Drosophila melanogaster: one gene and its partners. The gene in region 1 interacts genetically with each later gene. Each region holds a gene or a part of one and is shown on either strand. Other genes may lie near its edges. The genes, in order: Nup62, Elys and Nup154.

The links.
Region 2: of Nup62 (region 1) and Elys, changing one enhances a phenotype caused by changing the other (phenotypic enhancement), as found in Drosophila melanogaster (one study listed by BioGRID).
Region 3: of Nup62 (region 1) and Nup154, changing one suppresses a phenotype caused by changing the other (phenotypic suppression), as found in Drosophila melanogaster (one study listed by BioGRID).

Annotation. Positions count from the first base shown.
Region 1 is NT_033778.4:16,342,776-16,347,262, forward strand, and holds Nup62 (nucleoporin 62kD), read left to right. Parts: upstream 1-1,601; 5' UTR 1,602-1,805; coding exon 1,806-2,990; 3' UTR 2,991-3,053; downstream 3,054-4,487. Other genes in the region: CG7997 (uncharacterized protein), read right to left, coding at 231-260, 320-411; wcd (wicked), read right to left, coding at 3,100-4,487. UniProt on the Drosophila melanogaster protein: Essential component of the nuclear pore complex. The N-terminal is probably involved in nucleocytoplasmic transport.
Region 2 is NC_004354.4:19,650,182-19,658,626, forward strand, and holds the start of Elys (elys), read left to right. Parts: upstream 1-2,123; 5' UTR 2,124-2,274; coding exon 2,275-2,377; intron 2,378-2,445; coding exon 2,446-3,081; intron 3,082-3,140; coding exon 3,141-3,457; intron 3,458-3,511; coding exon 3,512-3,875; intron 3,876-3,944; coding exon 3,945-4,135; intron 4,136-4,270; coding exon 4,271-5,047; intron 5,048-5,116; coding exon 5,117-8,445. Other genes in the region: Ranbp21, read right to left, coding at 1-1,119.
Region 3 is NT_033779.5:11,002,580-11,011,105, forward strand, and holds Nup154 (nucleoporin 154kD), read left to right. Parts: upstream 1-2,240; 5' UTR 2,241-2,400; coding exon 2,401-2,499; intron 2,500-2,559; coding exon 2,560-2,722; intron 2,723-2,788; coding exon 2,789-3,282; intron 3,283-3,341; coding exon 3,342-3,514; intron 3,515-3,582; coding exon 3,583-4,553; intron 4,554-4,612; coding exon 4,613-4,852; intron 4,853-4,915; coding exon 4,916-5,077; intron 5,078-5,135; coding exon 5,136-5,682; intron 5,683-5,740; coding exon 5,741-6,266; intron 6,267-6,331; coding exon 6,332-6,798; intron 6,799-6,863; coding exon 6,864-6,986; intron 6,987-7,047; coding exon 7,048-7,180; 3' UTR 7,181-7,331; coding exon of another isoform or gene 7,332-8,318; 3' UTR 8,319-8,342; downstream 8,343-8,526. Other genes in the region: lectin-33A, read left to right, coding at 1-92; RpL9 (ribosomal protein L9), read right to left, coding at 328-659, 932-1,172; Art8 (arginine methyltransferase 8), read right to left, coding at 7,332-8,318, 8,375-8,413. UniProt on the Drosophila melanogaster protein: Component of the nuclear pore complex. Has a role in the organization of the inner nuclear membrane proteins at the nuclear envelope.

The DNA of each region.
Region 1 (4,487 bases):
AGTAAGACATGGGTAATCAAAAATTCAGAGAATCTTTAAATAGACTATAGTTATATCAGTAGTGTTAGTTATATCAGCAATGAAATAAACAAAAGCGTTATTGCAGCGTAGCGTGTAGAGTTCATGCCAAGGCCTAATTTTTACTAACTATTAAAGTTTATTTATTTTAAATGTTAGACGTAATGATAATTCTTTATGATCTAATCTAGTTGCTGGTAAATATTTCTTACCGCTCCCAGGACATCCAGCCCATAGGTGGCCTAAAATCGACAGAATTTCAATTAAGTGGCCTAGAATCCAATCAAAATTTAATACTCACTTTAGTGCCAGGCCATTATCGAGGCCCATGGATAATTGCAGAACCTGCAGCAGAAGAATCCCGCCCAGAAAGACGCCCCACGTTCCGTACATGGCGAGCTAGTGGCACCGACTGAATCCTGGCCTTTGGGCACCCAGGGAATTTATATTCTCCAGCGGGCGGCACTCCAGATAACTCTGTTTGGCAGGGGCACCTGAGGAGCTGGAGGTAGGGGAATGGCACCTGAAGAGCTGACAGAAGGTTAGTGGCTAATTGCTATTGCAGCGGAGTACTCCCATCGACTGATTGGTGTTCGCCGGGTGGCGCAAACAGCGGGCTTTCTCGATTGCAGGAGGAGCCGGAGCCCCTTATCACGCCAAGTTCACAGCGATCACAGGGAGCAAATAGAGAAAATCGAGGAGAGACCGAGAACAGGGGCTTTTGATTCTGATATGCTTTTGTTGTTCAATTCTGGCGCTGCTTGCCAGCTACACTGGTCAACAAAGTTGGGGAAATAGTTGGAAGCATAGTAGACTAGAGCACGGTACTAGTGATGGGAAAACATGTACTAACAAAACATAGGAACTATGGTCTTTTATTAGAAAATTTTGATCTGGTTTTTAAGAATAATTTAAAATTTCTGTTTTTGAGGATCAGATCTCAGATCTTATGAAAATCTTAAAAAGAATCTTATTACAAAAAAAAAAAAAACCGAAGGTCAAAGACAAGCTCTAATTGTTGTACCGCATTACGTTTGTACCTTAGGTAATTTTTCTAATTTTGTGGCTGGCAGCTCTGAAGAGAACCTACACAGGTACGCAGAACGAACCTTCTGATAGGAAGCACACATGTGTTTAGCTGATTTAGCAAAATGCAATTACTGAACTGAGTGCCGCTGCACTTTGGGCTTGTAATTGAATTCTTTTGACCCAAATGTTACCTTATCGCCTTTGCACTTACAGATAGCAAAAGATGACTAATTAAAGCCGGTGTTTTGTTATTGATTTTGTTTGTACGATTGACTACGTTTTCTTTCTGAGTTGGTTTTTTTATTTAAGTTGCGCGGAATGATTTGTTCCATGTACGACTAAAACTGGAGCTAAAACATAGCTCTCGACCAGTGTTGTTTGTCGATTTCGCAAGTTAGTTGATCGCTGGTTAAAAAAACGGACACAGACATAAATATATTTTAAAAGTGCAAAAAGTGATTGCAAACGTTAAAATAATATAAATGTTTTGGTTTTCAGCATGTTTTAGTAACAAAAATGTATCGTCGACTGAGCAAAGTACTTCATTTGTATTGCCAATTCAAAGAAATTTAAAATTTAATTTTGCCGCCCAATCTTCAAACTGCTAAGTGTTTTGGCTTGAAAATAGCTAGCTTGAGCTCAAATTTAGTTGATTTCCAACACCGACAACATTGCGGAACTCCAAGGAGGGGTCACACTGGTTGCTTTTGGCGTGTTTCGTTTGATTTAGATTTATATTATTCGTCTTAAGTTTAAGCATGGTATTCCAGTTGCCAACAACAACCGCCGCCCCGACCGGAGGCGCAACATCGTCGTTTTCCTTCGGCCTCAGCACAGGAACACCAGCCGCAGCACCAGCTTCAGGAGCAGCAACCACGGCTCCCGCCACAAAAACCACATTCTCTTTCGGAACACCGGCACCTACTGCTGGTATCGGTGGCGGAGATGCAGACAACAGCAAGGCGCAGGCTCCACCAGCCTTTGGATTTGGCCTGGGATCCGGGACTGCTTCAGCTCCCCTCACGCTGGGCACTCAAGCCGCCGCAAATCCAGCGTCCACCACTTCTGCGACCGCGACTGGAACCTCTGCTGCTCCTCCCGCCTTCGGAGGCTTTACGGCTCAACCAGCGGCATCTGTGGTGCCAACTATAGCAACCAGTGCACCCAACACCGCAGCTACCACAACTGGATTGCTGGGCGGGTCTGGATTGGGAGCTCCCAAGACCACGGCCGCTGCGTCCACAACTCTGACTGCAGCTCCGTCGGCCATAGCCTCCACGCAGGGAGCTGCACCGGCCCCAACTTTAAGTACTGGTGGTGCTTTTGCCAATCTCACTACCGAAACCAAGACCACAGACTCATCGGCCGTTTCCACGGCATCCCAATTGTCCTACCACCAACTTGAGGAGCATATCAACAAGTGGACTCTCGAGTTCGAGGAACAGGAAAAGGTATTCACCGAACAGGCCACTCAGATCAACGCATGGGACAAACTGCTCATCAGCAACAACGGGAAGATCGTCGAGCTCAACGATGCCGTGAAAAAAGTGAAAACCGATCAGCAAGTGCTGGACCAGGAGCTGGAGTTTATAGCCACGCAGCAAAAAGAGCTTGAGGACAGCCTGGGACCGCTTGAGAAGGAATTCGTTAATCTCCCGAGGGTGGACATGGAACGCAGCCAAACCTACCTGATGGTGGAGAATCTGGACACACAACTGAAGCAGATGTCCGAGGATCTAAAGGAGATAATAGACAACTTGAACGAGGCCAACAAGGGCCAGGACACCACTGATCCCATCATACAGATCGGAAAAATCCTTAATGCCCATATGAATTCGTTGCAGTGGATCGAATCGCAGTCGACGAACATCAGCAAGAAGCTGGAAGACATTGGCAAGATTCAAGACTCCCAGAAACGCGATATTTTCCGAGCTCCTTTCTAAAGATAAGTCCCCTTAATTTGTTAACTTAAATAAAGATGGTTCCATTGTAACCACAGAAAGAGTAATGATTTTATTTAAGAATTTATTGTAAACATCATACTGCCTTCAATTAATAACCCTTGAAGTACTTAAGCCTAAAGAGCGGCACCTGTTTGCCCTTAGTGGCAAAGGCCAGGAAGCTGCTGTGCGGCGAAAAGGCCATGGAGGTCACAAAGCCAACCTTCTCGTTCTGTGCCGGGAAATTGGAGTACACAGTGGCGCTGGGGAAATGGGCCAGCTTAAAAGCATTCGGCGCCTCACTGGAGCACATCGCCAGTAGCTCAGATGAGTGATTGAACTGGAGATCCGTGATGGCAGTCCGTAGGTTCATGAAGCGCTTCTCGGGTTGTGGGGCCTTGGATGCGAAAATGCTCTCGTAGTCGTAGATGTTGACCACGCCCTCTTGACTGCCGGTGGCCAGTAGGCGTTGGTTGGGAGACAGTTGAATGGACTCTCCATGTATACAGCCGTCGTCCATGAAGATGTGCTCGATGAGGTTCTGGCGCAGGTTCAGCACGCTGACATTGGAAGTGGAACCGCAGACGAGGATCCTCTTGGAGTCACTAGACCATGTGAATCCCTTCACTTTGCCCTCCTGCTTGAAGCTGTGCAGCAGCTCATTTGTTTTGGCCGTGAGCAGGTGAATGGCTCCAAACTTGCCAGCAGTGACGATAAATTTGCCACATGGAGACACCTCAAAGCGGTGCATAAATTCCATTGCGCCCGGCAGCTTTAGCTTCGATTCCTTGGCTTCCAGCAAGTCGTAGGAGTAGTAGAATGGTTTCACAGAACCAAAGAACGCCCTTGTGCCGCATGGAGCAATTCTGGAGCACGCCAGCGGGAACTTCTTGAAGCGCATGTTGTGCAACCTTTCGTTCTTTTGCCCATCCACGGCGTAGATGGTGGCTAGGCCATTCATGCCCGCCACTAGAGCAGCAGTACTGGTTGGATGAAACTGAATGCTGGTGGCATTACCCTCGGCATATGTGGCCCTGTTCAGGTCTTTGACCCGTTTAAAATTCAGAGTCTTCTGGGGCAGATCACTGTTCCGGGCTTTACGATCGATAAAGCCAACCGTCCGCAGCAGTTCTTCGTCGGAGGATACGTCCTCGTCGTCCTCATTTTTGACCTTCTTTTCCGCCCACTTGGGTTGGTTAAGCGTGCGCTGGAATCGCGCCGTAAGATACTCCTTGTACGATTTATCCTTGCGCAGGTGGTTCAGTGGACCCGTGTGCTTTGTGGCCTTCTTGACATCGCCCACCTGCAGGTCCTCGTCATCGGAATCCGACCAGGCGGCTTTCCGCTTGTCGCCTGGCTTTGCCTGGCCGGGATTTTCCTCCTGCTCGTCTTCGTCATCGTTCGGCAACTTTTGTCCCACGGACTTGGCTAGATTGGTGAGCAGTCGCTGCCTGTCGCCGAAGAGCACCTTTTCCATGGGCACCTCCACATAGTTGAGCT
Region 2 (8,445 bases), on another chromosome or scaffold:
GAGGCCCAGCGATGGATGCTGGACGAGCAGCAATAGGCATTCGAGAAGGACTTCCAGGTGCACTGGTCGTTGCGTGGCGTCGTCCTTGCCCCAAAGCGCCACCAGTTGCTGCGCCATGCCGTTCAGCACTTGCAGCAACTTCTTAAGGAAGTTGAGGTGCTGCTCGACGGCCAGTGTGGAACTTGTGTCGGCCGGTATCTGACTGGCCTGGTAGATGTAGCGCAGCGGCTCCTCGTTGAACAGCTGAAGCAACGGCTTTCGCTCCTTGGTCTGGCCCTTGCGGTTCGTGATCTGCGCCAGGCACTCGGCCGCATTGCATTGGAATGCTTTGTCGTTGAGCAGGATGCAGAGGAAGTGCATCAGTTTGCCATTGCTGGACATGATGTGCTGGATGCTGACCCACTCGACGAAGCCGCTCAGCGTGAGCAGTACCATCTCGACGACACGGCTGTGCGCGTTCGCCTTGGTGTAGTTGCACAGACGCGTTGTCTCGCGGAACGCAGTCACATGCTGCTCCACCAGGCGCAGGAAGAACTCGAAGATGTCGTTCATGTTGTTGTTTAGCGCCTGGTACATGTCCTTTCGCCGCTGATTCGACTCGATTGTCTGTAATAGGGCCACGTCCTCCACCAGTCGCAAGAAGACCAGAAGCACCAGCTCCGTTTGGGCCTCGCCCTTGGTGCAGGCCTGGCTTAGCTCCGGCAGCAGGTCGGACCACTGCTGCGGCCACTCGCGCTTGATCATCTCGACGATGATGCGCGACAGCGCGTCCTTCGTGGGCAGCAGCGAGCGGTCCTCCGCCGGGCCCACGCCCACGTTCAGCATCTTGATGGCATTGTCCTTAATGTACACCTTCTCCTCGTGCGTAATGCAATTCCATCGGTACTTGATTGTGTACTCGATCAGCTGCAGGCCAAAGTGTCGCACTTGCTGGTTAGACTGCGGCGAGCTGGCCAGGAATAGGCCCACCTGGGCGCACATTGGCGACTCCTCCTTAAACCGCTCACAGGCCATGTAGGCCTCCAGGCGCGCCTGTTGCTGTGTCATCGGGTTCATGACTAGATCGATGGCCGAGGCCAGTTCGGCGGCCAGAGCCTCGGTGCCTCCGTGCTGGGACATCGCTAGCTAGCGTCTACCTGTGGGTATTGCGTTAGATTGGAATTGAAACAAATTTCCTGGGTGCGGCTTCTTCCTGCAACGGGCGCCATGTGCTCCACTTACCTCTGCTTGCCCCTGCCCACCGCTCGAAACCCAAATCTCGCCTAGCCTCTCGATCTCCGCCGCGATCCCCTCGTGCGTTGTCTGTGACCAATGCTTTTGTGGAGCCAGCCAACCAGCCAGCGAGCCAGACAACGTTTTGGAAGATTAAAAGAGCTGCCGCTACCTGTGTGCGTGTGTGCTATGTGCTATGTGCTGTGTGTTGTGTGGTCTGTTCCGTGTGCGAAATGCGGAATGCGTGAGCTGGGATTGTGGTGTGTTGGTGTTCTGGTTGGGATTGCCTGTGGGCACCGATGATCGCCCTGGGTAGCGCCTATTGCCTGGAACACAGCCTCTGGTCAGGTCTCTCACATTTGAGTCGCATATAGAAGTAGACCACTACTGAAACCGCTTTTCCGGCTGGGTTGTTTTAGAACAATGTGCAGCAAATCGCACGGGACAGGGTTGACAAGCGGCGCACGAAAGTTGCCAGATAGTATTGTTGCTATTGTATGTACTAAGAGCTTGACTCGGAGCTATATATGCCTGAATTGAGTGATACAAGGCATTACGCTTCAAGGTTGCTACTATCTGTGTTCATTCGGACTTCAAATGCAAAGCCAGCCGGTTGAGTTCCTTATGAAATTCGCGCAATATTTTCGCAATTCTGCAGCGTTGCCAGTCTGCTGGTGTTGAAGTTGCCAGGCTGCAAGTGCCGGCTTCTAGTCTTTTCTTCAAATGATTGGCTTGCCTCTCAGTTACAAACTTGTTTAAGCATGTATATAGAAAAAATTGAAAATGTACAGAAATATATGGTAACTAGTAACTCAAGTCCTTGCCATCGCTAAATTTGCGAATCTCTGTCGGACGTTAGCCAGCACTGGGCCACTCAGCGTGCATACACGACAAGCAAAACAACGGTTTTTTTGTATGCCAAATCGAGGCGGCAACGCCAGGCCGCTCAGGCACTCACACACTCACGCACACACAAAACATACACGCCGATCAATCGGTGCAAGAGCGCTGTATTTATAATTTTATTTTTATTTGCAAGCGGCCGGCATTGATGAAATAGAGATGGAGTGGCACGAAGTGGAGTTGGACGGTAGCCGCACGATTGCGTTCCCGGAGCGCATAGTACCCGGATTTGGCCGGGAGCCGTCGGCACATTTGGACGCCGGTAAGTGTGCACAAAATACGGCGTGTGCCGAAACCGATTCACCAAGAATCTCCGCTATCCCTTTACAGCCGAATACCTGGGCGGCATCATACGCGACGGGCAATGGGGCTGGGTGACCTGGCGGTATGGAAGCGATGCCACTTTGCTGGTCTGCAGCATGTCCACCGGCGATTACCTTTCTTGGCACTGCTTCTGGAGCGAATCCGATGATCTGGGGCCGCGCAAAAGCATTCGCTGCGTGGAGGAGCTCTTCCCCGGCGAACACGAACGCCCCGCTATGCTAGCCATCTGCCTGGAGTCATGGAACAGCGGCGATCAGAGACCCATCGACTGCCCGTTGAGCACGCAGGTGCTCATCTATGCCATTCGCAACAGTCAGGTGCTCCGCCGCTTCGACCTTCACGGTATAACGTGCAGCGCGCTGACGTTCCTCGATAAAAGAATCTATGGACTCACGCGACTGAGACGGTTTAAAGGCTGTCTGGCCGTGGCCACCGAGGAAGGCACTGTGCTGTTGGTTGATCTGAACAGCGACAGCCTGCAGGCGAGTACCCAAAGGCGCAGCCTTTGCTCCCCCAGTTCCAAAGATGAGCCGTCGGACGGGAACCTATACTTTGTATCCTCCGAGGAGTCCAAGAGGCAACTCAGCTCCAAGCTGACCCATTGTCGCTCCAAAGGGGCTCACTTGGCTGTGCGGATGGACGGTGAGTCTGTCACTGCCAGTGTGCCATGGTAGCTAGGTTAACCTTCAATTTACCAACAGTGGCATCCATTGGAATCAGTTGCCTTATGGGCATTAGCATGGCGCCCGGCTATGCTGCTGGTCTAGAAGACGGCCGAATCCTGATCTACGACCTAATCAACTTCGACGTGACCACTGATCTGAATTCGCCAGTAAAAAGGAAAGGGGTCAATAGAGCAGTGAAGCGAATGTGCCTCATTATGCCACCGGATGACCCCAAACCCTGTTTCTACATCTGTGCATTGTACCAAAATATCGACGTCCTGCAAATGATGCTGCACTCGGTCTGCTACAGGGGCTCGTACCGGGACCGGGAAACCCACACGATCCGTTTTAAGGTGAGAAATCTTGAGCCGTCACGCACAGACCAATATTGACTTCTTGCTTCGCAGGACTACCGTTCTAGAACCGTGCGCAACCGCCAAATCTTGGACGGAGGCATCTGCTCCGTGATCGGCTGCGCCACGGCGTCTACTTTCAGTTTTGCCGGCGACAACGGAACGCTGCTGATTGTCATCTCGTGGCACTCAAGTGCAGATAAAAAGAACAAGCTAGTCCTGTTCGACATTAATCAGTGGTACAAGGATGAGATGCCCACATCCGTTCACAAAAACGAAGTTCCTAATTACATGTCCGGCTACATACTCAGTGGTCTACAGACGGGACTGGCATTGGATTTGCGTTCCACCACCATATTGCACTTTGTCTCACTGCAGCGCTACGATGAGCACTTTTATCCCAACTCACTAACCTTTGGTAAGTGACAGCGGTGATTGAAGCCAGCGCCAGTAAGATTAATAGCCAAGTAATACCGTCTATTTCCAGATTGCTCACTGTTAACTCCAACTGGCAAACGGTACTACGCCCAGGACGGAGTGCAGCATCGGTTTCTGAACGCACTTCGCTGTGATCGTGCCACGCTCTTTTTGCGTCCTCAGATCTACCACGAGGACATCGTTCGCCTGCGTCTCCTGCCACAATTTTGTGAGCTTAACCCTAACGCCACATTCTCTAAGGTGAGCTACACACTAGGTTATTATTATCAGTTATCCGGAAATCTTCTGGTATCATATAGTACCACAGTCTTTGGGGAAATGAATCATGCTCGTTATACTCGTTTTAAAGTAACATTGCATTATCTTGCTCTCTAGATTGCCATGTACGAGTTGATACTGTCGGTGGCCCTGGAGCACAACTGCGGAGCTTTGCTTAACGACTGCGCACGGAGTTGGATGGATGGCAGCTTCTTGTGCAACATGATTGATAACACGCAACTCTCCTTGTCCACGCTGACCAACTGGATCTTGAAGCGCGCCGGACAGATCAAGACGAGGTGCTCGGAACTTTGCCATGGCATCTTTGATTACGGCGGCTATCCACTGGACCAGCGGGAACGGCGCGAGTTTCAAGTGCTATCCGGTCAGCTGCGTGAATTGGTACGATTGCAGTCCTACATTGTCGAGCAGGGACGGCGCAGGCTAACCTCCTCAATTTTGGACGATTGCCGTGCCAACGAGAGGGCGCTGAAAACGGTTCTCGAGTACCAAAGAGTGCTGCTTTGGTTTATCGATCACGGCCTCCTGCCGGAGGGTCAGCACATGGATAATCTGGTACCCGGCGAGCAGGCCTTCGTTCGCCTGCAACACGAGTACTCGGAAAAACGAGCGCAGGGAAAGATCCTCTACATTGATTCTCTGGGAAAACGCGCCTCCTTTCCGGAACCCTATCCGCCGGACTCGCTGCATGCGTATATACACTTGATGCTCAGTCCCGACATAGAACTCTGTCACAAACATGCTCTTATCCTCTACCTGCTGATGGACCTGAACCAACAGCTGGTCGGGCGCTTTCAGATTGCCTTTCAGCTGGACAAAGATCTGGCCACGTCATTGCGCTGCTTCTGGTACTTGGACCACGGCGATTACGAGGTGAGTTCGGATCGGTTAATATAAGCGAAAGTGTTATATTCATTCGTTTTGTGATGTATTTGATTACAGCGAGGCGTAGAGGAGCTATACAAGGAGCCTGCCCCCGCTAAGAACTTGAAATCGTGGCAGATGCGGCTGTTAATAGATAAACTGCTGGCTGAAGGTGCCGTCAAGGCAGCCAAGAAGGTGGTCAGTCGACCACCCGGTCCATTGTCCTCGGCGCTGCACATGAAAGTGCTCCTAGCCAACGAAAACATAACGGAAGCATTCCAAATCGCTCGCCTCGACGACGACGAGGATGGACAGCCGCTGCTGGAGCGCTTCTTCCGCCACTGCATTGAAATCAGACGCTTCAAAGTTTTGGCCGAGCTGTACCTGCGAGAGCCAGAGGAACGGCTGTTGTACAGTCTACTGCGCCAGTGCAGATCGCGTCAGACGGATTGCGTGCAATTGATAATGCTGCTTCAAAAGAGCAAGTTCATCGAGGCCGTGTCCTTTATGGATGAGGTGGCCGCCGAGCGGGAGCGAGATGAATCATCCAATACAATACTCCCAGCATACAGCGCTACAATGGGACCAGTTACACAGAACATCGCCGGCACGTATCTTCGCATCAGAGACACCTTGGAGCCCTACCAAAAGACCGGTCCCTTGGAGCCATTCAGCTGCCAGCTGGTCAAACAGAACGCCAGCGGCCAATTGGGCGGCATCTTTCAGAGTTCTGCCGTCAGTGCCCACTGGGCAACGCAATGCGAGTCCCCTCCAAAGATGACTCCCGTTTCGATCCAATCAAAAATAGGCTACACCAATGTGCCATTCCTGCGGCACGCGCAATACGGACATTCGGAGCTTCCACTTCCTCGGCGCATAGTAAAGCCGGTACCACACCAGGTGGTGGAGAAACGACAGCGGGAGCTAGAGGATCAGCGTACCAATCTACAGGACCAGAGGCAGCTAGGCACGGAGCGTCCCAATAAGCGTCCTTGTCTGATGGTTGAACGAATGGTGGAGGATGTTAAAGACTATGTGAGATCCATTCGAGAAAAAAGTTCGAACCAAATGGAGCAGGAAGAGGTCAAGCAAAACGAGGCGACCAATCTATTGCAGCCGCCAAATTTCCTCCAGGCGCGACAGTCGACGACGATACGCCAGAGCAGCAGTTCGCCACAGCCGATTCCACCGATCCTGAAGGGAAGCGGGGCCGTGGATGCCGTTAAGAGAGCTCCGCCGGTGGCTACATTCACAGCGCTGGCGGGGCCAAAAAGATTTCGCTTTGTGCCGCCCATTCCTCTGCGAACTGATAAATCTGATAAATCGACGGAGATGGGCAGCGAAGGTGCGGCTGAGGGTGAGGAGGAAACTGACGAGATCATTGTGGAGATCGAGTCAAGAAGCGAACCAAGGAGCGCCTGCAGCTATGAGTCCGACGAGGAGGATGAGTTCCTCTCGCCTTTAGTATCGGCCAATGTGTCTTTGGTGGATCCGGTACCATCGCGGAATTCTCCTCATTATTTCGCCCCACCAGCAGGACCACAGCCCCGAAACTCATTGCTACATGGGGGAAATGGAAGCGGTAGCAAGATTGGTACTGCAACAGGGAGCGAGAGTAGTAGTGGATTCGGTAGCTTCAGCACTGTCCAGCCGGCTCAGACGTCATCACATTCCCAGTTTGTGCCCACCGTCTGCTCGTCCAAGATGGGCGAGACGCAGTCACAGGTCTTCTCCAGCGGCAGCTGTGGGATTAAGATTTCCGAGCGCACTACCATCTGTGGCGAAATGGAATCCACCGATCTTGGTGCAGAATTGACGGCCGCACCCAGCGCACAGTGGTCTCTGCCATCAGCAAGGCCGGCTATACAGGGGCACCACCAGATGATGGACACCACGCTGGGAATGTCCACTTACGATGTGGCGTCACTTGAGCAGCAAGATACTCAGGATGTGGAGAACGAAGAGGAACTGAAGCTGGGTGACACAAAATCGCTTGAGGAGCAACAGAATCCACAGGACGAGCAGAAGCCGGAGCAAGAGCAGGATCAGGATGAGGATCAGGCGCAGGAGCCTTTGGCGACCGGTGGTCAGCTGGCGTTCCTAAGCAACTCAGAAGGAACGGCCCAGGAGCCCCTCTCCTCGCCCATCTACAGCCTCAGTAGCGAAGACTCGAACGTGTCCTCGGCCGGCATTCGGAATCCCATGCTGCCAACACTGCACACCGATGACCCAATGTACTCCATCGTTGTTGAGTCGCCGGGCTCCATAACCACATCCCGATCGGTTACGCACACGCCCACCTCATTCCTGCCCAGCGACACGAACGTATCACAGACATCTAGTCCGCAGGCACCTCATGGCGAGGATGGAGATGGCACGCCGATCTCATTGTACCGCGCCAATAGTCTGGAAACGGTTGACGACCTGGACACCACCAAGGGCTCGCTGGAGGAAGAGGAGGAGTACGACGATGATGATTGCGTCATAGCGCTGGATGGAACAGAAGTGCGCGGCTATGTCGCCCGACCCCAGCAATCGGCGGCCTCCAGCAGTGCGGAGCTGTTCGCCTTCAAGGACGAATGTCAGGAGGAGGCGGCTGGTGTCCCCAGTCCATTCCTTTCGCTGGGCGCCACGGTCAACAGCGACTCGGATGTGGCCGACACCATTGTCCTAGATAGCGATGAGGAGACGGCGAAGGAAAAGGATACTCAGCCGGAGCAGCGAAAGGATTGGCCAATGGAGGAGGAGACCCCGAGCAACGAGTCAGTGGCCACAGTTGAGTTTAGCGAGCAAAAGCAGCCACGTGCCGATATGGATATCGGGATGGAAGTGGATGCGGTGCCGGACGTGCTGGAGGTGCTGGAGGTGCCGGAGATGGAACCCTTGCCAGTACTTTCCGATGTGGATATCGAGATGGCGGTGGATGAGGTGCCGAACGTGCTGGAGGTGCTGGAGGTGCCGGAGTTGGAACCCTTGCCAGCAGGGCAAGCAACGCAGTCTAGTGGTCTTGGGGAAATTCCAGAAGAGGATGTCGACGCAGAAGCCGAAGAGCAGGTCGTTGTGAAGGTCGAACATGTGGCGGATGAGCAGCCCAAAGAAGGAGACAAGACGGAGAGCAAGGAAGCTTCCGAGGAGGAAACCCAACATAATCCAGAACCACTATTGCCCGAAGAGGAGGATTCAAGACACAGCCTGAAGCTGATTTTCTCCGGTGATGAGGATGAGGAGGAGCAAGATGTGCCAACACGGGCGATTCATACATTGCGACCGCGTCGCAGCTTCACGGAGCACCAGGACAGTCCGCGAACTCTGCGACCTCGTCGCGTCTCCCAGGAGCATCGCGATAGTCCGACTCCAGTCGCTGGTCGCACGATGTCTTTGCGCAGCACCGACGCCCCAACTTTATC
Region 3 (8,526 bases), on another chromosome or scaffold:
GCAAGGTTCAGTTTCCATATGTGTGCCAGAGGGAACCAGCAGAGGACTACCTCTGCCTTAAGCGGGATCTCTTCCTAAAGGTCCTTTTGTAGTGCTTTCAATCTCAAGTTATCATGAACTTATGAAACCTTGCAAATAAATAAATAAGATAAATAACACAATCTTACCAACGAATTTTCAACCAATCATCACTTTTTTAGTGGAGCATTGTGATAAAATCTGAATACATTATATTACAAAAGTTTAAAGACACTAAATTTCTTATTGAAAGTTTCGGCCGTTGGTTTTTTTTTATTAACATTTTAGGTTGAAACACATTCCAAAAGTCTAAGACTCTAGCTTCACAACGGTCGTCTTCTCGGACACGTACAGACCGTCAAGGAACTTACGGATATCCTTGTTCTTGACGGTCGTGGACTGCTGGATGAGGGCGGCAGATCCGGAGACAGACTCAATATCGTTTCCCTCCACGATAAGTTCGTCCTTCTGGGCAGTGGAGTTGACCACGGTGACGCCAGGAGCCATCTCCACACGACGGATGTACTTCTCACCCAAGAAGTTACGGATCTCAATGACCGTGTTGTTCTCGGAGGTGACACAGTTGATGGGGAAATGGGCGTACACAGCACGCATCTTGTACTGGAATCCAAACGTGACTCCTGGCGAGAGAGAAATTGCAATTAATTGTGTGGTACTTTGAATGCAAATGTCTTTAGGAACCTAATGCCGAATCTAATTTGCCAGCACACACTGAAAATATTTACTAACTACTATATAGCATTTTTAGGTAATTTGTAAAGAAAATTGATATCTATGAATGGAGTTTAGTAAATCGTCTTCCCAGATATTATTATTAAATTCTCGTGTGATTGGCAAATGAAAGGCCTGGCTGTGAAAGTGTTCCTGTTGTGTTTACCCTAGCTGTACGCACCCTTGATCATGTTCTCGATGTGACTGCAGACGGTGCGGACGGCGGCCAACTCCTTCTTGGTTCCGAACCACTTCTCCACCTTCAGGGTGCGCTTGTCGGGCATGTACATGTCCAGAGCCAAGTGCTTGAAGCTGCGCTTCAGGGTGCCGCGGGTGCCGGTGATGGTCACCACACGGGCCTTCACCGAGGCCTTGATATCCTTAGGGATCTTCACGCACTGGTTGGAATTAATGGTACGCATCTTGATGACACTGTCGGCAAAAACATTAATTATTAGTTTATCAAGGCTACAAGTGCTTGTCACAGAGCATTCCAAACATCGAATCGCAGAGTTCACATCGGGCTAACAAAACGTGCGCTGCCTATTGTTTTCCAATTTGTTTATGGATCATCCATCCCAGCGGAAATGGAAAAACGGCGGCTCTTCAGTGCCACACGCCAATTGCCGTTTCACTCGATTCGATGTTTTGGGGCGCTTTTTCACACAAAACTTACGCTCCGTTAGTCCCTCGTTTGTATGACACAAATTCTGGATGGACTCCTCGCTGCAAGGGGTGGTTTTAGAGATATTTTGGGTTAAAATTTCAATAAAAATATAACGCGGAACACACTACTCACCGGAAACGGGGAAAAGAAAAGAAGGGAAATTTAATGTGGCTGTGTGAGGCGCACAAAATGCGCTAAATTTTGAGCGCCATGTGCCGTTGGGGTGCTGTTAACGTTACGCATTGTGCTGTTAAGCGCTAGAGTTTCTGTGTTGAGTTACAGTAGTCTTTTTTTTTTTTTTTGAAAAGAAGGCTTAAATCAAGTCTATTTGGGAAAGCGGAAAGTGGATTTTAATCACAATTATAAAATCCATTGGCAAAGCTTCGAAATGCTGAATTCATTCAGTAGTTTGAGGTTTTACCGATTTTAGAGAATAACACACCTGTTGCGCTCAACTGAGTTATACTCTTCACATTCTAATATTTTTATATTCTCAAAAGTTTCCGGCATGGGAAGTGCTTTTTTTATTATACTTGTATTAGCACAGTTACTGTTTATATAAAATTATCAACGTTTTTTCAAAGTATTTAAGCCCACTGAATATGCCTACTAAAACCATTATTGTCTATTAATATACGCGTCCTTATCATATAATATATATTAGCAGTAAAAGAAATTATTATTAAAATATTAATTTCATGCACGTTTGCAAATGTTTCTTGTGACAGACGATTTCATAATACCCCGCTAAGGCGCCTGAAATTGTGAAATCCATTAATATTCAATCGAAATATACCAAAACAATACCGAGAATGTGAGGATATCTGGTAACACTTAGCAGAAGGCGGGAGCGTGGGTACATTGAGCATCAGTCGACCAAATCTTCAGATTAGTTTGTAGTTTCATCCCAAAACAGTGGTCTGACGGCATTTTAAGTTAGCATTGCACCCGAGTTAGCCCGCCTCATCACAGTTTTCAGCACGATGACTCTTCCGCAAGCACAGCTGGACTTTTTCACGACGGCGACCAGTATGCTGGAATGGCATTACAATCTGGAGAGAAATAAGCCGGGTCTGCTGGAAGTATGTATTGGATACGGATGTTTATCAGCTTCTCCTCCTTTAATGATACGTTCTTTGTAGCTGACCGGCGTTAGCCAGCATGGGCGGGCCACGATGAGCGGACTTAATGACTACGATTACCAGAGCCTGTCGTTTTTGAAATCGGATAGAACACATAACCTACAACAAATGCGAACGGTGACCAAGTCGGCTATTCCCAACGAGATTCTGGAGCACTTTAAGCGTACGTATCCTGGGCTTCATAGCCCATAGATCTATCCGTTCCAATCTTCGATCCTACCTGTTGTAGACATAAAATGCCACTGCACCATGGGCCTCTTTCCGGAAATCGGACGTGCCTGGCTGACTATCGATTCGGAAATCTACATCTGGACGTTCAATCAGACGAGGGATGTGGCGTACTACGATGGCCTCAGTCATCTGATCGTAAGCGTTGGCCTGGTGAAACCAAAACCCGGCGTCTTTGTGCAGGACGTCAAGTACCTCCTGGTTCTCACTACGCCCATTGAGGTCATTGTCCTGGGCGTGACATTCGGTGAGAGCTCGTACAACGAAATGCAGCTGATGAACCGGCCAGTTTTTGTGATTGGTACCGACAACGTGTCCATCAGCGTCATCAAAGGAACGGATGACGGCCGCATCTTTTTGGGCGGTCGCGATGGCTGCCTCTATGAAATTTACTATCAGGCCGAGTCCAGTTGGTTTGGCAAGCGATGCAAGAAAATAAATCTCTCCCAAGGACTGGTCTCCTATATGGTTCCCAGTTTTTTGAAGGTCTTTTCGGTAACTATTGTCTTTACTTCAAAAAATGTCCGTAACTATTTAGCGCGATTTGTTTGCAGGAAGTGGATCCAATCGAACACATTGAGATCGATAACAGTCGCAAGCTTCTCTATGTCCTTACGGAAAAAGGTGTCATTGAGGCTTGGGACATCAGTACGAGTTACACGACAGCTCGAAGACTAGGTCGGATTACCCAGAACGATATTACGAATCAAGCAGTTAGTCTGATCACGTAAGTGCTAGTTTCGCAAAGAATTTAACTGTAGTATGGTTAATTAATAACCATTATTTAAACTTTAGGACTGTGGACCCGTCCATTTTTAAAAGTGTGAAAGCCATCTGCCCTCTGAGCGCCGACGATGCCGACAAACTACATCTTGTGGCCGTTACTCAGTGTGGTGTGCGGCTCTTTTTCTCCACAACATCGCTAAATGTGAAGCAACAATTTGGTCCCGCGGTTCCTTGCAGTCCAGGTGAGAATACAGGATTCGGTCAGCCAGCAGTTCAGCCACCACTGTCTCCAAATGCTGAGGCTCCTAAGGGACTTTATCTGCTCCACGTGCGTCTACCACCCGGCTACACCCCAAATGCCACCACCAACAAACCAAAGCAGGTCCATGCCGCTCACTACACGGAGGGAACCATGTTGATGATCACAACGCAACAGCATGAACAGGATCTCCTCTGGTCGCTCAGCTCTGCCCCATCGGTTAACTTTACCTACCTGGTGGAGTCGACGGCTCTGGAGAGCCTGGATGGAGTTGTTTGGGGATTGGCTGAGGTACATGAACCGTCGACGCCACAACGAAAGTCACCCTTAAATAGTGCCCGACACGCCCGCAAAGTAGCCCTGCTCACCAACCAAGGCACACATATCATAGAGGTGCTTAAAATGGTGGACGTACTGCGTCAGATCCTTCTGTCGTGCAATGGCCCACACCACGAGGAGGTGAAGATGTTCTTCCAGTCGCAGAATCAGCGAGAGGCATGTGTCACGGCTCTGCTGCTGGCCACATCGGATACTTATCGTGGCAGTGACGTTGCTTTGTGGGCCGCCCAGGCGTTTATGCTGTACGGCGGAGAGCCATGCTATCAGCATCAAAAGTTCCTGAACGCCAGCAACCGCAATATGGCTAATCAAACTCTAGGCCCGAATACGACGAATGTAAGGGAGCGTCAATCCATGTTTATGTCCACGCCAATGCCGAATAGCGTGGCAAATAGTCCGGTTGGTTTTCCTGGATCGCAGTTCAATCAGCCCATAAGTCCAAGTGAGTTAAATAAGATCTTCCAGATTGCGAAATAGTAAACACAAATATGTATTTATCAGTTGGAAATATGCAGCCACCACAGGTGGCAGTTAGTAACGAGAATTCCCCAATCGTTTTCTCGGCCAAACACGACGGACTTTACATGTATGTCTCCCGCATGCTGCATTCTGTTTGGCAAATGCGCTGTGTAAATGAGCAATTTTGCTCTAATCTAAGTCAGAGTGAGTGTGCCCTCTTGCTATCCGATCTGCGTTCCCTGCGTAGCTTTCTGGAAGTGCACTCTGTGCACGATATTTCCTGTAAGTCGTGAACTTTTTATTGCAAGTTAAGGTACTTACTTATTAATTATACAATTGTTGCAGCGACTACTCGAGTGTCATTTGATAACCATTTGGATAGAACCAATTCATATAACACCATCATGATGGGCAACACTTTGCTGCCAATTCCTGAGCAACGCGTATTGTCCGAGCAGGCTCAAGTAGAGGAAACACGTTCGCTTTCCGCTCTCAACCTATTTGTCAGTAAGTAAAGTTGGGATATTAAATCATAAAGCTTGAACTTATCTACCGCCGTTTGCAGAACATGCATGTGAGGTTATATCGCTGTGGAACATCCTAAACTCGCATTCCTTCCAGCTGATATGCGTGCAACTCAGTCCGGAACATCAGAAGTTGTTGACATGCTCCACCTTCCGGGATCTTCTGATTACACGTTCAGAGGTCTGCGCATTCTTGATCATCTCGCTGATCAATCTGTATCTGAAGGACGCGGCGGGAGTGTCTGAAGTGTCCAAGAACTTACGTGAGAACTGCCCCAACCTATACAGGCATGAGGATGACGTGACCTACAAGGCCACCGAGTTGTTGATGAATGCAAAGAATTGCACTTCGGCAACCGAAAAGGAACATATGCTGCGAACCACCCTGCATATGTGCAAGGAAGCTGCTCCCACATTGCCACTGCATAGTATTTGCATGCAATTCATATCGGCTGACTTCTTTGAGGGAGTGATCGAGCTTTCGGCTGTTTGTGCCTCAAAAAGTGATCCAGAGGAGGTTGGTGTTCATTTCTATAACAATGGGGAACCCGCCGATGATCGCGAGGGTTACACTTGCTTTGCCACAAGGTAACTTCTTTAATAGTTTTTTTTTTTCTTGGAAAAACTAATTATTTCCACATCTTAGGATGGCCTACTACAAGGAAGTGCAACTTATGCTGGACCATATCTACCAGAGAGTATGCAACAAGACGCACGTTCAGGATAAGTCTATAAATCCACTTAAAGGTACGGCTAAAGCGTCCGATGCAAAAAACGGTGCTACGCAAACGATTCCAAAAATAGTGGCCCATACCCTAAAGGTGAAAGACCCGCTCATTCATATAACGCTCTACGAATGGCTGCTGGCCCACGACATGCTCAAAGAGCTTTTAGACGTGGTTGAGCCGTCATTAGGAGAGTTCTTGCGGCGCAGTGTGTCGCAAAATGTAGATAATGTCGTTCTTATCGATTTGCTGTGGAAGTACTACGAAAAGAATAGCCATCATTCCCAGGCAGCCCATATATTGGACAATTTGGCTATGACACGCAGTGAAAACATTAATCTGGAGCAGCGCATTGAGTACTTGGTGCGTGCTGTTATGTGTATGCGAAATGGTAACGTTGGCTCTTCATTAAGCAATGGAATATTCCTGAAAGAGCTAGAGGATAAGGTACGTTATAAGATCTCTGGAAAGATGTGGTGACCTATATTTAATAACATAATTTAAAAATTCAGCTGGACATCGCACGAGTTCAAAAATCAGTGCTTGCCGCGATGACAGAGTTGGCTAGCGATAAGCTGGAGGCAGCTACGGCTGTTAAGGAACTAAACTATGCGTTGTACGACATAACTCAGCTATACCAGCACTTTGCGGAGCCCTTCGACCTTTGGGAGTGCCAATTGTCCATACTCAACTGCTCGCATCACAACGACCCCCTACTGATCGAGTCCGTTTGGGGCCAGATTATCAACAGCGTTGTGGATAAGCCGGGCACAACTAGTGAGCGCTGCAATAGGTTATTCACGAAAATCGAAATCTTGGTAAGGGAGTATGGCGAGTCTGGAGTTTGCTTTCCCTTTGCCTTTCTCATAAGGGAACTGGAAGTTAAAGCCTGCCAACTGCGATTTCCCGAGGGCATAGTGCCGGAAAAACTGGTGAGTATGAATTTGGACATTGAACTGCTCCTGGAATACTATTCGAGGTACGTATTGAAGGGTTTTCGCAGAGATAAAATTGTTTAAAGGCTAAACTTTTAAAAACTTTCAGAATGATTTCAATGAACGAACGAGTGTGGGCCAACGAGGGTAATGAGTGGCATTTAATACAATCCGTCATACGAGTGGTCTCGCTTCTGGCAGACAACGCACAATCTATTTGGTACCGGTCAAAGTAAGTGCAAAAGTAAAATGCTAGCCGATACGATTTACTTACATTCACATTTAACTTGCAGACGACGAATTGTTGGCAAGGCTCAAGACATAGTGGCCGGCTGCCTGAATATTTGCTACCAAAAGCCCGACACTAATCGTCTTCAACATTCACTCAAGGAACTTCAGAGTCAGCTGCAGCGGTTGTTGATTTAAAGCCGTCGGCCTGCGTTATTTTAATTAAATTTTTGAAAGTGCTGGACTAGACGTTAAGTTTGACTGAGATATATATTGTATTTGTATTAAACATGTTAAATAAATTGATTTCCCCACAGATCGTTGTTCGGATTCCGAGATGGCATGTAACTCATGAGGTGTCCATCATTTTTAGATGAGCTTCCGTCAGAATGCACTTCGTCATGTGACAGGAGCAAGGCACTGGATGCTCCTCTGTGTTGGGGTCTAGCAAATCCACCTCCAGATTGTATTTACGCATATCGGCAGCACTGCGCTTCATTGTGATTTGAAATGCAATGGGTGACTTCTCCTCCAGATTTTCGCAGGATTCCTCGGGCAGGACGACTACACACTGCTTCCAATGCGTTGGCGGGGATAGCGGCGATGTGCTTAGAACAAAATCTTCGCCAGGAAACTGTACATCGAACCAAATGCAGAAGCCCTGGTGATTGCCCGCCTTCTGGGCTGTTATTACCTCCTTGAACTGAATGCTGTCCAAATCGCTGGCTTCCACATCCAGCAGATTCATCCAGTGAAAGACGACGCCCTCGTGCAGAAGATCTTGCGGATTCAGCTGTGTAATCTCCGGTCGGGATGACTTTTGGGTTCTGAGTTTTCTGGCAAACGTGTCCATTTTGATGCCGTCCACGTTGTGCCAATCATCGAAGAGCGATGGTACCGAGCAGGGTGCCACGAAAATTGTGCACTCGCTGGGGAACAGGAGTCCACCCTCCTTGAGGAACTTGTCCCGGGCCAGGAGAACCGAGTCCAACATGCCCTCGTGCAGCAGGTAGAAGCCCATCCACTCGGACACAATGATGTCCACCTTTTCCGCCTCGGCAGGCAGTACGAATTCCTCAACACGCGACTGGATCACCTTCACCACGTTCGTCAGGCCGTTATCCTCAATCAAATCCAGCGCAACTTTGGTGGCCACATTGGATGCTTCTACGGCGTAGACCAAACGGGCTCCTGCTTTCGCACAAAAGGCGGACAGAATCCCTGTGCCGGCACCAACATCCATTACGATCTTGTCCTTGAACAGATCCTTATTCCCCAATATCGCATTGTAGTAGGCTTCTTGCCGAGGACGATCCTTCAGCATGAGCTCGTGGATCTGTAGTTTGGTCACTATGAGTACAGTTTCACAAGAAGATCTATAATCTTATTTACCTCCAAGTTTTCATACTCATCGAAATAAGTGTTCGCCATGATTTAAAGTTGCAGTTATCAACACATTAACATTAACGCATCAAGTGAATTTTTCAAAACAACGTGCTAAATAGAGGTGTGTTAATCAACTACAATAGTATCGATATATCGAT